Linked DNA regions of Yarrowia lipolytica. The protein of the gene in region 2 binds, or shares a complex with, the protein of the main gene of each other region. Links are inferred from orthologs where the notes say so. Each region holds a gene or a part of one and is shown on either strand. Other genes may lie near its edges. The genes, in order: YALI1_E00551g, YALI1_D02087g, YALI1_E18326g and YALI1_D27297g.

What was found.
Region 1: YALI1_D02087g (region 2) and YALI1_E00551g share a complex: the UniProt entries of both Saccharomyces cerevisiae proteins name them as parts of the mitochondrial small ribosomal subunit. The link is inferred for Yarrowia lipolytica from reciprocal best matches to the Saccharomyces cerevisiae genes MRPS5 and MRP17.
Region 3: YALI1_D02087g (region 2) and YALI1_E18326g share a complex: the UniProt entries of both Saccharomyces cerevisiae proteins name them as parts of the mitochondrial small ribosomal subunit. The link is inferred for Yarrowia lipolytica from reciprocal best matches to the Saccharomyces cerevisiae genes MRPS5 and RSM27.
Region 4: YALI1_D02087g (region 2) and YALI1_D27297g share a complex: the UniProt entries of both Saccharomyces cerevisiae proteins name them as parts of the mitochondrial small ribosomal subunit. The link is inferred for Yarrowia lipolytica from reciprocal best matches to the Saccharomyces cerevisiae genes MRPS5 and MRP2.

Annotation. Positions count from the first base shown.
Region 1 is NC_090774.1:54,672-57,725, reverse strand, and holds YALI1_E00551g (mitochondrial 37S ribosomal protein bS6m), read left to right. Parts: upstream 1-1,861; coding exon 1,862-2,157; intron 2,158-2,532; coding exon 2,533-2,554; downstream 2,555-3,054. Other genes in the region: YALI1_E00574g (uncharacterized protein), read right to left, coding at 1-238. UniProt on the Saccharomyces cerevisiae protein: Component of the mitochondrial ribosome (mitoribosome), a dedicated translation machinery responsible for the synthesis of mitochondrial genome-encoded proteins, including at least some of the essential transmembrane subunits of the mitochondrial respiratory chain.
Region 2 is NC_090773.1:207,083-210,197, reverse strand, and holds YALI1_D02087g (mitochondrial 37S ribosomal protein uS5m), read right to left. Parts: upstream 1,440-3,115; coding exon 501-1,439; downstream 1-500. Other genes in the region: YALI1_D02085g (uncharacterized protein), read left to right, coding at 1,682-2,260; YALI1_D02063g (uncharacterized protein), read right to left, coding at 2,462-3,115. UniProt on the Saccharomyces cerevisiae protein: Component of the mitochondrial ribosome (mitoribosome), a dedicated translation machinery responsible for the synthesis of mitochondrial genome-encoded proteins, including at least some of the essential transmembrane subunits of the mitochondrial respiratory chain.
Region 3 is NC_090774.1:1,830,983-1,833,557, forward strand, and holds YALI1_E18326g (uncharacterized protein), read left to right. Parts: upstream 1-1,677; coding exon 1,678-1,928; intron 1,929-1,999; coding exon 2,000-2,075; downstream 2,076-2,575. Other genes in the region: YALI1_E18303g (uncharacterized protein), read left to right, coding at 1-1,469; YALI1_E18378g (uncharacterized protein), read right to left, coding at 2,192-2,575. UniProt on the Saccharomyces cerevisiae protein: Component of the mitochondrial ribosome (mitoribosome), a dedicated translation machinery responsible for the synthesis of mitochondrial genome-encoded proteins, including at least some of the essential transmembrane subunits of the mitochondrial respiratory chain.
Region 4 is NC_090773.1:2,728,111-2,731,010, reverse strand, and holds YALI1_D27297g (mitochondrial 37S ribosomal protein uS14m), read right to left. Parts: upstream 1,341-2,900; coding exon 1,068-1,340; intron 564-1,067; coding exon 501-563; downstream 1-500. UniProt on the Saccharomyces cerevisiae protein: Component of the mitochondrial ribosome (mitoribosome), a dedicated translation machinery responsible for the synthesis of mitochondrial genome-encoded proteins, including at least some of the essential transmembrane subunits of the mitochondrial respiratory chain.

The DNA.
Region 1 (3,054 bases), on a different chromosome or scaffold from region 2:
CTCCAAGGGCCTCAGCAGCGTACTTGGTGATACCAATGAAGGCAACGCCGTCCTCGTGGAAGGCAACCCAGTCGTGATCCTCGGTGAACTTGAGGGTGTACTTGTTGGAGTACTTGTCGGGAATGGAGCCCTTGATGAGGGTGTGGTTGAGTCGCATCATGGTCAGAGGAGCCATTGTAGGAGCCATGGTGGCTCGGGGAGCGAATCGGAGGGAAGATCGGGCCAGAGTTCGAAGCATTGTGTGTGTTTTTGTGAGTGTAGTTGTGGTGGTGGAACGATATGTTGTCTGGGGTAGGCCACAGTTAAGTTAGGTGGATTGGGGTGACTCGGTTTGACTCAGTGAAGGTAGGGTAAGTGAAGTAGAGAGAACTGTGGGGGTGATCTGATAAATGTGGGTGAATAATGAATCACAAGAATGAGAATCAATATAGACGAGAACAATTCCCGACCACCCTAGACTCTATATACACCACACAGTTGCTCACAAACTCGAGCTGTTCTAGGCCGGCAACTAAACCTTGGACTATTGAGACAGCCGCCTTAACGAGATACGATAATGTGCAGTAGTTGCAACTGCGTACTCAGCTGCCTGTCAGACTCAGTGCTGAGAACACGATAACACTGAGTACAGTTGACGCGGGTGACATGATAGAAGCCGACTTGAGCTTCGAGAAATCGAATACTTGGGCCCCTTCTGTGATCTGTCATTGCTCCTGAAGGGCCATCCCTAGACTGGAACCACGGTCCAATTCACCCCACACAACCAATGATTCAGCCGCACATGGGTCTGATGCGTACTTATGTGCACAACTTGCAGGCTCGGTGCTTCATCAGAGGATACTATGGAAGCAGCTTTCAGGCGACCGTCTGAATAGGGGACAGTACGAAATTTGGCTACAAACAGGCATCTACAGTATGTACACACGAGTAGTCGAGTGGCTGAGAAATAGTTGACAGATATTCTACAAGTACAGACGTGTGTCGGTTGATCGAGAATCCATATCTTCTCAAATGATATACAGGAGAGGTAGACTTTTTCTTTCTTTCTCCAGCGCCGTTCCTAATACTTGTACTATTACAGTATCTCGAGATATCACCGTTTTCCAGGCACTTAGGTAAGTGTCTTAGTTGGCTGATTACTTGGGTAAAATTTGAAAGCCAGGACATCATCAATATCATTTAACTAATGTCTGTTAGCTGCACAAAAATGGAAACAATCCCAGAAGCACTCATAGCTCTTGCAAGATACCATTTATCAATAGACCCCATCAAATAATCATCATTAACCAGGACTGTGGTCTCGAGAAATGTGACAGGCCATCAATGCTCTTCCTACTGTAGGTTAAAACAGGTTAAAACAGGTTAAAACAGGTTAAAACGCCATCTGCCCGTAATACTGTAGTCAGTGATATTACATACAGCGACTCTCTCAGAGCAAGCTACAATACCTGCCGGTATGGTACTTGTCCGAGATGTTGCACCCACAGGTCATTTCCAGGTATGTACAGTACATACTTGATACTGGTACATGCTCCGAACGCAAAAAATGCACGTGACTTTTACCTGAGCAGTAATTAGAGATGAATGTTAGCAGCATCTGGCTTACATGAACGCAGTCATATATTTTATCCACTTTGAGAGCAACCAGACCCCTCAGGTAAATTTCCTTTATTGTTCATATATCCGACCTACCTATTTCGGCTCGATATTAAAGTGCTCTTAATTACTCACGTATTGTACTGACAGACCGACCATGTTCAGAGTGCCAAAATAAGGTTGCAGCATCCAGTAACATTTTCAACCTTCATCTCTCACACGACGTCATCGCATCCCAACTACCCCTCTACACAACAGACTCGAAATGCTCTACGAACTCGTTGGAATCGCATCGGTGACTCCGGCACACGCGGCCGCCAAGCAGGCCGTCACCCAGATCGGCCGAATGATCATCGGCAACAGAGGCGTGGTCCGCCTCATTGAGTGCTGGCGATTCAAGCCCCTGCCCCAGATCATGAAGGCCCAGCAGAAGAGCTACGTGGTCGGCGACTACTTCTACATGAAGTTCGACTGTTCTCCCGGAGCCCAGGGCGAAATCATGCGAGCTGTCCAGGCTGACCCCCGTTTGATTCGAACCTTTTGCGTCAAGCTGAATGAGAAGTGAGTATGATATGGTTGCTCTTGAACAGAGTAACGAAGCTGGAGAGCTAACTGGGACAGGCGAGAGCTATTTTGTGAGCAGAAGTGCCCGTTTGGACAAAAAATGAAGTCTTTGCTCATTCTATCCTTTTCTATTTAAGATGCTCTTTTGACAATCATTCTCTAATCTTGAGTGGCGTCTTGAATAAGCAACCCAAGTCTAGACACGGACATGTTGGATTCTAGTCTTCGCCAAGCCGTCGGAATTCCTCCTCTGTTACCTGAAATAGCACCTCGAGCTATTAGAAGCGACCAGACATTTATATACGACTTGAGGCAGTTCCTCGTTGCATTCAAACAACTATATTTCTACACATCTTCAACATACTAACACAGATCCAGCAAAACCCTCATCTAGCATCTCTATTTAATGTACATATTCGACACAGTGTAAGTGATTTTCTTGCCTAAGGCGTGCCTGTAGGTGGACAGTATGTTCAAACTTCAGAACAAGGGCATTAGTTAAGGAGTAAAGACGACTCTTGCCCGTCTTGTGTGTGATACAACTGTTCTTATCTCGTGTATCCGAGACACTGTTTTAGCTAATACATGGTCTCGAACACGGGTGTGTGTGCATACTCATAAGACTACATACCGGCACTGGTACGAGGGAGTAACACTGTCAGTAACTACAACTGTTCAGATATGAAGTCAAATAAATCTCTCACGGCTGCAATATCGTAGATATATACTGGTGCCGTACATACCTGTACACGGATTACAAGTCGTTAATCGTCTAAAGGTCTATGCGAGTGTCGTCATGACACGACGACTCATTGGCAAAAACTGCATATGCTACCTTTAGTATGTACTGTACATACATCAATATCACACGAACCCCATTAACGTACTGTTTAT
Region 2 (3,115 bases):
GTAGTCATGTTTGAAATAGTTCAGTTCATAACTTCTATTAAGCTGCTAGAAAGTGCGGGACTTCAAAATGGCATTTTATTCATATCGGTACAACTTAGTCTCATGTCTCGTCGGCTCTTGATAAAAATTCGCCAAGTAATACCGCTACTTGTAGTACCGTGTGTGCAGGCACACTGTGGTGTACCAGTAGCAGCGATAGCAAAACGCGGGTTAGAGGACATACTGTACAAGTATATACCAGTACAAGTAGAAGCAGACGTTGTTGTATATCACCTTTGTCTGGAAAACAGATCTTTGAGTGGCTTTGGATCAAGAAGGTATCTTGACTGACTACTCCGCCATTAAGTACACAGTATTTACTTGTACTTGTACTGCTCTTTTGCTCAGTCACGTTTTCACGTAAGAGAGTTGAAGTTTGCTTAAACACTCTCGCTCTACAATCTGACTACGGTCCACTCCTTCTTTTTAATCGAGGGCACTTCATAGGCTATATACAAGTTTTAATCCGACTTGGCGAAGTAGGTCTCGTTCAGGTTAACGAGCTTCTTGCCTCGGATCTGTGCAATGGAGTCGGGGATGACCTGCTCCTGGGTGAGCGCCTCAAAGGCGGCCTTGGCCACGTTCAGGGGATTTCGCGAGCCGTAGACGTTACAGGTCATATCAGTGATACCCACCATGCTGCACATCTGCGACACAATGGGGTTGACTCGCAGACCGTGACCAGCAGGAGCAGACCGCATGGTCAGATGCACGGCGTGGAATTTCTTGTACACCTCGCCGTAGATAGTTCGGTTCTGGTATCGGGGCACCATTTTCATAGATCGAGTTGCCTTCCACATGGCCTTTTCGAGAGCCACAGGGAAAGACAGAGGATCTTTACCCTCGCCCAATCCAAGCATTCCCTTGCCGTCTCCAGTTGCCACAAGCACGCAGAACTGCATCTTCTTTCCCTTTCCGGTCTGACTCTTGACAATTCTGTTTAGCAGGAGTCTGGTGTTTCGAGTCATTCTGTCGTGAAACTGGGGCTCGATGTTCTCGGTGAACTTTGTGTCCACAATAGAATCGGTCTCGTCACCGGTCTCTAGCGAGCCCAGAGGGTATGCCGAGCTGGTTCCCAGCACGTGCTCGGTGGGCACTGGCTGTCGTGGCTGCGAAAAGTTGGTCCACTTGTTAGTAGCGTGATCGTAGAAGGGATCGTGCTCGGTGAAGTCGTCAAAGTAGCCGGGCGACATTCGCGACAGGGGCGACTTGGCGGCCCACTCTTCAGGCTTGATGGCAGCCTCGGCCTTGAGAATCGACTCGACCGTCTCGGCGTCGTAGTACTGCGACAGGAAGTTGAGGTGCTTGAGCCGCTCTTCATGGGCGAGTGCCGCGGTGTTGGCGTAGCCTCGGGTCGCCATACAACCCACACGGGTCTGTTTCACCAGTTGTCGGAGCATTTTCGACTGTAGTTGTGTGAGCTGGTTTGTGATCTGGTTTGTGCAAAATCACACAAATGCGAGGTAATTTTCACCCGCTGGTTCGACTCCGCCCAAAGTTGAATTAAAGGCTACATTCTGAATGGTTGTCAGTTCAACTTCCACCAAAGTCAACTCAATATCAATTAAAAACTTTAATCAAAAATTTGTGCATATCGCATATTCAATTTCGAAATCACCCACACACCCACACACCAACCATCATGATCGCCGACCTGCCCGAGGAAAACACGACCCTGTGGTCTATCAAGCTCCCCAAGGGCGTCGAAATGGCCGACCTCGCATCACAGCCGCTGGAAATCGACGGTGAGGTCACCCTCGGAAAAAAGACATACATTCTGCAGACCATGGAGGGAGGACACAATGTGTTTGTCTTCGGCAAGAAGACCGACGCGGACTACCTTGGAGCCACCCAACAGACCGTTTCCGAGCAGCTGCAGCTCGTCGAGAAGGTGTCTCTGCCTCCTGTCGACCTCGAACAGGTCTGTGTGCCCAAACCCATTGTTGGTAAGGTGGACGGTCTGCATCAGAGATGGTTCCCTACTGGCTACGGACCCGAGGACTACGGACTGGATTCTGCCATGCCTGTTTCGTCTGCTAGCCAGACCAAGAAGACTGCATCTAAATCTACAAGTACCAAAAAGCGATCCCAGGAGGATGTGACGACCGAGGAGCCTTCTGCAAAGAAGCAGAAGAAGGAAAAGAAGGACAAGAAGGACAAGAAGGACAAGAAGGAGAAAAAGGAAAAGAAAGACAAGAAGGAAAAGAAGTCCAAGGAGTAAGCAAAAGGAATAGGAAGGATCTAGAATCCACGGGCATGGAGATTGTAATTCACATAGTATCAATAGAGCATTATTTAAAATCTGAATCGGAAGATCGCGGGATGCCGAGAAAGGTCACGACTACATCACAGAAACTCAGTGCCTCTGAGGCGGGTTTGTCGTCTTCGTTCACGACTACACTCACCTGTTAACTGCTGTTGCTCACGACAACAAACACCTCCAACCTCCAGAACCTCCTCCCCCGCTCTTATTTTCCTTGTTGATTTCGAAAACATGCTCAACTAACGGATGCTCCTCCTTCTCGTCAGTGTCCTTTGTATGGAGAGTCTTCTCAAAGTACCGCAGCTGTCCGTCTTTACCCACCATGATGATGGTTTGTGTCCGAGTGCCATAGTGTTTTCCAAAAGGGTGCGTCACGTTCCAGTCCTGGCCTTCCTGGTACCCCGCAGCAGCAATGACGGGAATGAACACTGACTGGCGCAGGGCATGGTGGATCTCTTGCTCGGAGGCGCCCTTTTTGGCGCCGGGATCAAACGTGTCGTGTGAAAGAACGTCAAATAACGAGTCCACAAGTTCCTTGCGACTGCTTCCAGACTCCACGCTCTCCTTTACTACCTCATCCAGCCGCTCAATTCCCAGAGCGCACTTGGGCCAAGGATTGCAGAACAGCGAGTTGGAGATTCCAATGGTTTGGTCCTCTGGATCCCTTGCCACCCACTCATGATCGCCACCACGGTTCGAAATGATGGAGAACTGTGTCTTCCCGTTCAAATCCACCTGGCCAAAGAGGAAGGAGAAGCCACCAGCGGCCTGGAGCTTGTCCTCGGGGTATCGTCTCTTGAAGTTCTTGGTGAA
Region 3 (2,575 bases), on a different chromosome or scaffold from region 2:
CCGCATCACAGGTTTCAAAAAGCTGGAACTCCATTGTTGAAAGCTTGGGCGCAATCTGGAAGGGTCTTTCAGAGAGCCACCAGGCGCCCGTTACCGATGCTGACGTTGCCAGAGCTACCGAGCAAAAGTGGGACTATACCACGTGGGGGTCCGAGGACACCGATCCTAGCATTGTCGAATCCACTCCTCTGTACAGCAAGATCAACCTGTACAAGAGCATATACCGTCGAAGACATCTTATTCGTCGCAACTGGATGGATCCCAACTCCACACCTGACTCCACATGCATCCGAACTGGACGGGAGGCAGTCATTACTTGTCTCCAGTTTGATGATGACATCATTGTCACTGCCAGCGAAGACCCTTGGATCAACGTCTACGACACTAAAACTGGCCGTCAACGAAGTCGACTCGAAGGTCACACTGGAGGAGTGTGGGCTCTGCAGTACGTTGGTGATACATTGGTCAGTGGAAGTATTGACAGAACTGTTAGAATTTGGAACATCAAAGAAGCACGATGCACCCACATTTTTACAGGTCACGTCTCTACGGTGCGGTCACTAAGCATCCTGACTCCTGTGCCAATGAGCCATGCAATGTGTGCTACTGCACGAACGGAGAGCACCGACCCCGATGAGATGTATCCTTCTCGACCTCTCATTGTTACTGGATCTCGGGACAAGACACTGAGAGTCTGGAAGCTTCCTCTTCCAGGCGAGCCTGAATGGCTGGATCAGTCCACTCAGGATCCCTACTTCATGAAGTCACTCCAGGGCCACTCTAATTCTGTTCGCGCCGTTAATGGCTACGGTGACACTCTTGTCTCTGGATCTTATGACACTACTGTGCGTGTCTGGTCTATCAACACTGGAAAGTGCAAGTTTGTACTTTCTGGACATCACAAGCGAGTATATGCTGCTGTTCTTGATCATCAGCGTAATCGATGCATCTCTGGGTCGCTTGACTGGAATGTGAGGGTCTGGTGCCTTGAGTCAGGATCCTGCCTGTACACTTTGGAAGGTCACACCTCGCTTGTTGGTCTCCTTGACCTCAACCGATCTTGGCTCGTGTCGGCTGCAGTTGACTGGACCCTTCGAGTTTGGGACCCCGAGACTGGAGGCAACATACATAAGCTGGAGGGACACGCGGAGGCAATTTCTTGCTTTCAGCACGACGAATACAAAGTTGTCAGTGGTTCCGCAAAATGCTTGAAGCTCTGGGATATTCGTACTGGCAAACTTGTGAAAGATTTGTTCACGGAGTGTGAGTCAATCTGGCAAGTGCGGTTTAGTGGATCCAAGCTCGTCGCAGCTGTCCAGAAAGACAACGAGGCTTATCTCCGAATCCTGGATTTCGATTATGAGCCAGGAACGAAGACTGAGAAAACGGTCTACGTTGGAAATGAGGATGACATCAAGGTCGAAGACGAGCTTGACACCGCTGCCGCTCCTGATGTAGCTCAATCCTAAGTTTCATACAAGCTACATGGGCATTTACATTTGCCCACCCATATATTTAATTAACAGGATATTATTTACGATACTCGTATCACATACCTTCATACAGTAATTCTGATGGCTGTGTTTTCAAATGAGCTTATCGGGTCACGTGTGTTTAAGGTTTCAATGAGATGTTAGCTTTTCAGTCCCAAATCACCACAACACAACTCGCACCACGATGAACCCCATCCGGCCCAGCAAAGAGCGACTTACCTCGTTGGCAAAATTGACTGCCCAGGTTTTTAATCGGTCTTACAACCCCGAGAACCTTCGACGTGGCACTAAGGCCCTCCGGGCACCGCTGATTGGCGAGCAGATCAAGAGCTACTACCCCACAAGCGACTTCAGCATGAAGAGCCTTCGAGAGGCCATGCCCCAGTTTGGTTTCGCAGACTACACTGAGTGGTACCGACTTACCAACGTTGTTCAGTGAGTATTAGATCCTATTGTATAAAGGCTACTAGGTACACGCACAATCGTGGTTCAATTATTAACAACAGGCGAAAGAAACGAGGAAAGGGAGCCCCTAAGAAGCTCACCGAGAAGAAGGCGGCCGGTGGAAAGAAGAAAAAATAGGCATGCTATTAATTTATACTGCCATGTACATAGACGAAATACAAAGCACGTTTACTACGGTGTATATGTTTCGATTAATTTCAACATTTCTATAAATTATGTAAGTATATCCATGGTTAGATGTAGTCGTGGCTATCGTCGTCAAGTGTTTCATCCTTCTCGTCATCTTGCTCTGCACGTTGGTATCGGCTAGCTCGTTTGGACAGAGCTCCACCCCAAACGGAGTTCTCAAACGAGTCGATGAGCTGGTCTTCCTGTCTGTGGATGAGGTTCAAATCAGAGGAGTCTTGGTCCTTGAAATTGTCACTGTCGCCTGATACGCGCCGGTCCCACATAGAGTTCCTGTCAATGTTTGACCGTTCCGAAGTCCATGAGAAACGGCCAGAGCTGCCAGCATTCGGGTTCGGTGTCATTGGGTCTGTAGACAGGAAGTAGTCTGCTGGAACTGGAACACCATCAGGTGTTGTAGGTACCTCTTCCACATCGAAGTCCGCCGTTTT
Region 4 (2,900 bases), about 2.5 Mb from region 2:
GTCAAGCGTTGCATCGGGTGTGGCATTTTCGAGAGTAGCGAGAAATTGATACTGTTCGAGGGACTTTTTGGAGGGATTCGTTCGAGAAACCTGTTCGAGGGACCTTGACGAGGGACCTGTTGGAGGAATAGTGCAACATATTGACGCTCGTCAGTCATGTCTTACTATCACCCTAACAGTCTCTCTGTTTGACTATCTCTGTCATCGAGTGATGAAACTTGCAGTTCCTAATCCATGGACCCAGACTCCGAGTACCTGTCTACAGTCCATGTCGTGAGAATATAACAATATACGAGTTTGTGGGTATAGCTCCGCGAAGAACGAGTGCTTGATACTGGATGCACGTACTATTACATACAGACGGTTCTTTTCAAAGATGCAGAATGTTAGCTGAGTATCGATAAACCCCTTTCCAATCCGATAATGTAGTATTCGACCGTCTACTGTATTTGTCCATCTACACCGCTCAGGTTCGACTAAAATTGATATGTACATGATATTTACCACGAGGCCTTTCGGACACCGGGCAGCTCTCCGCTGAGGGCCTTGTTTCGGAATGCGGTCTGGGTTAGCTTTGAAAGGACAGTAGAACAGGAGAGAAGGGAGTAAGGGGAGTAAGGAGTGAGAATAGCGTAGAGAGGTTGAGAGAAGCAAAACACAATGCAGCCAGTAAGTCGATAAGTCGGTAAAACCGTCTGTAAGGCAGTTGGTAAGACAGTGTCCAATCCAATAACTCGTGGAATAAGTCCAGAAAAAATACCGATCAAATCACAACGCATCAAACAGCAGCAATCAGCATAAAAAGACGACAGACGAAACCAACATGATGGTCTATTGCTGCACTTATGGTCTACTGCTGCACTTATGGTCTCTCTGCTGCACTTCCTACCGTTCGATGTGCACTGTCACTCATTCCAATCGCCGACATCCCGGTCATGGGCTATCTCATTCAAGATGGTGCGGTTCATTTCCCATCCCCGTTCGCGGGGCTCATTCTCCCCAACTGTAGTCATTCCCACTCCTCATTCTTCACTCAGACCTTTGGTCTTCGCTTCGGTTGTACTCACTCGACACAGCTTGAACTCCTTGATAATACCCTTGGATCTTCCGGTCTCGACACATCGGGGCTTTGCCGCGTGGATGTTAGAAAAGACGGGCATGGAGGTGAGCTGGAGATGGGCCTGGATCCGCTGCTTCATGGGCAGAGTGGTGTTCTGCGAAATCGACTTGAGGGCCCGTCGGTTAATCTCCTGCTGGGCAGACACGTGCCGGATGGCGTTATCCTTGAGCACCTTGGCGTCGATGTAGCACGACGGCGTCTTGAACTTGGGCAGTCGCATTTTGGTTGTGCGGTGTGTGAAGCGAGTGAATTTGAAATTTGAAATTTGATATGCAAACTTTCTCGCCTAGTGGGGAGTTGCTGACTACGCCAACGATCGGTTGTATAAAAACGTAAAAATATCAGAAAAGCCATACTACTGCAATGTTACCAACTCCAGCCATATTTTGTATTTGTATATATATATATGTAGATTTTTCTCACCATAGAAACGCTCTTCATATCCGTCATGATTCCTGTTGGGAGACGGTGATGTCGACTTACAGGACACATCTTACCCTGACTAAGCTGACGAACTGTAATAAGTATATATTTATTTAGTTATTTTATAAGAGCTAATTCGAATATTGTAAGGATAGTAAAGTGTCGTCTCACAAAAATATATATAAAGACGTTAGAAATTATTCGTGAACAAAAATACCCTGTCAGGTGACATTATTAGTCAGTGTAACCATTATCACAGGTTACGACCTTTTATAGCGGGGAATAAGACCCTCTTCGTAACTACAACTACGGGTGCTCGTACGTATTGTAGAGCAAACAACACTCTGAATAAATTGAAACAACGACTGAATTGTCCAGTTTTCATTACCCCACTCAAAGGAAGTCACACGACTTCCAATCATACCCCAGATCGGAGTTTGAGACACATTTTCGGAGCAAAATGCAATAAAGATTTTGTCTCAAGAGGACGATTCAAGTCGGGGAAAATCGGGGAGAATCGGGTAAAATCAGGGAAAATCGGGGAAAAAGGCAATAAACAAACCAGACCTACATAATCGGACTATTTGATGTCAATTATCCACTCCAAACCCATCTCAACACGTGGAAATACCTCAAATTCCTGCAAGTACAGCACATACAGTAGTCCACTTGCGTCTCGGTGCATGCATAGATGTGCCCGGTTTAGGAGCAAGTTTTGATTCGACAAGGTATACAGAAGCTTACGTCAGCAGGTAGTCGTAAGCGGGCCCCTCTTGTTATTGTCACGTGACCTGCCGGGGGGCCGCAGCTTGATAATGGTGAATCCTTTGTCTCTTGTTTGCTTCTTTTGAAATTAGCCATTTATTTCAGACCAATTTCGGGCTTGGAGGATTATTAGGTTACATTTTCGAGAGTTTAAAGAGACGGTGGGGAGTGTCGGAAACGAGGTTTGAAGAGTATTGATTGGCGAAATGTGGGATTATTGGGCTATTCTCAGGTCAGAGTATATTTATTTCCAGTTTCGGCATTTAAATAGCAATTTTTTCCTCATTTTTCCTCATTTTTCCTCAATTTCTCCGCCGTCATTTCCGTCCCACTTTTTCGATTCTACTTTATTGTAATTGTACTTTTAATTTATTTACCTTCAGGGATGGTGCATTCCGTTTGCAGTAGATGTTCGGAATTTTTGACGGTGGCTGATTACAAGGGATTAGGTGGAATGGCTACATGGGACATTACATTGCGAGGAGGCTGATTCTAGCGACAGTAGCCGGTTGCAACTTGCGTGAAGATGCTCCTCTTCAACACAATGCCAGAGTCTGATGGTGCTCGAGTACATACTCGTAATGTTGCAATG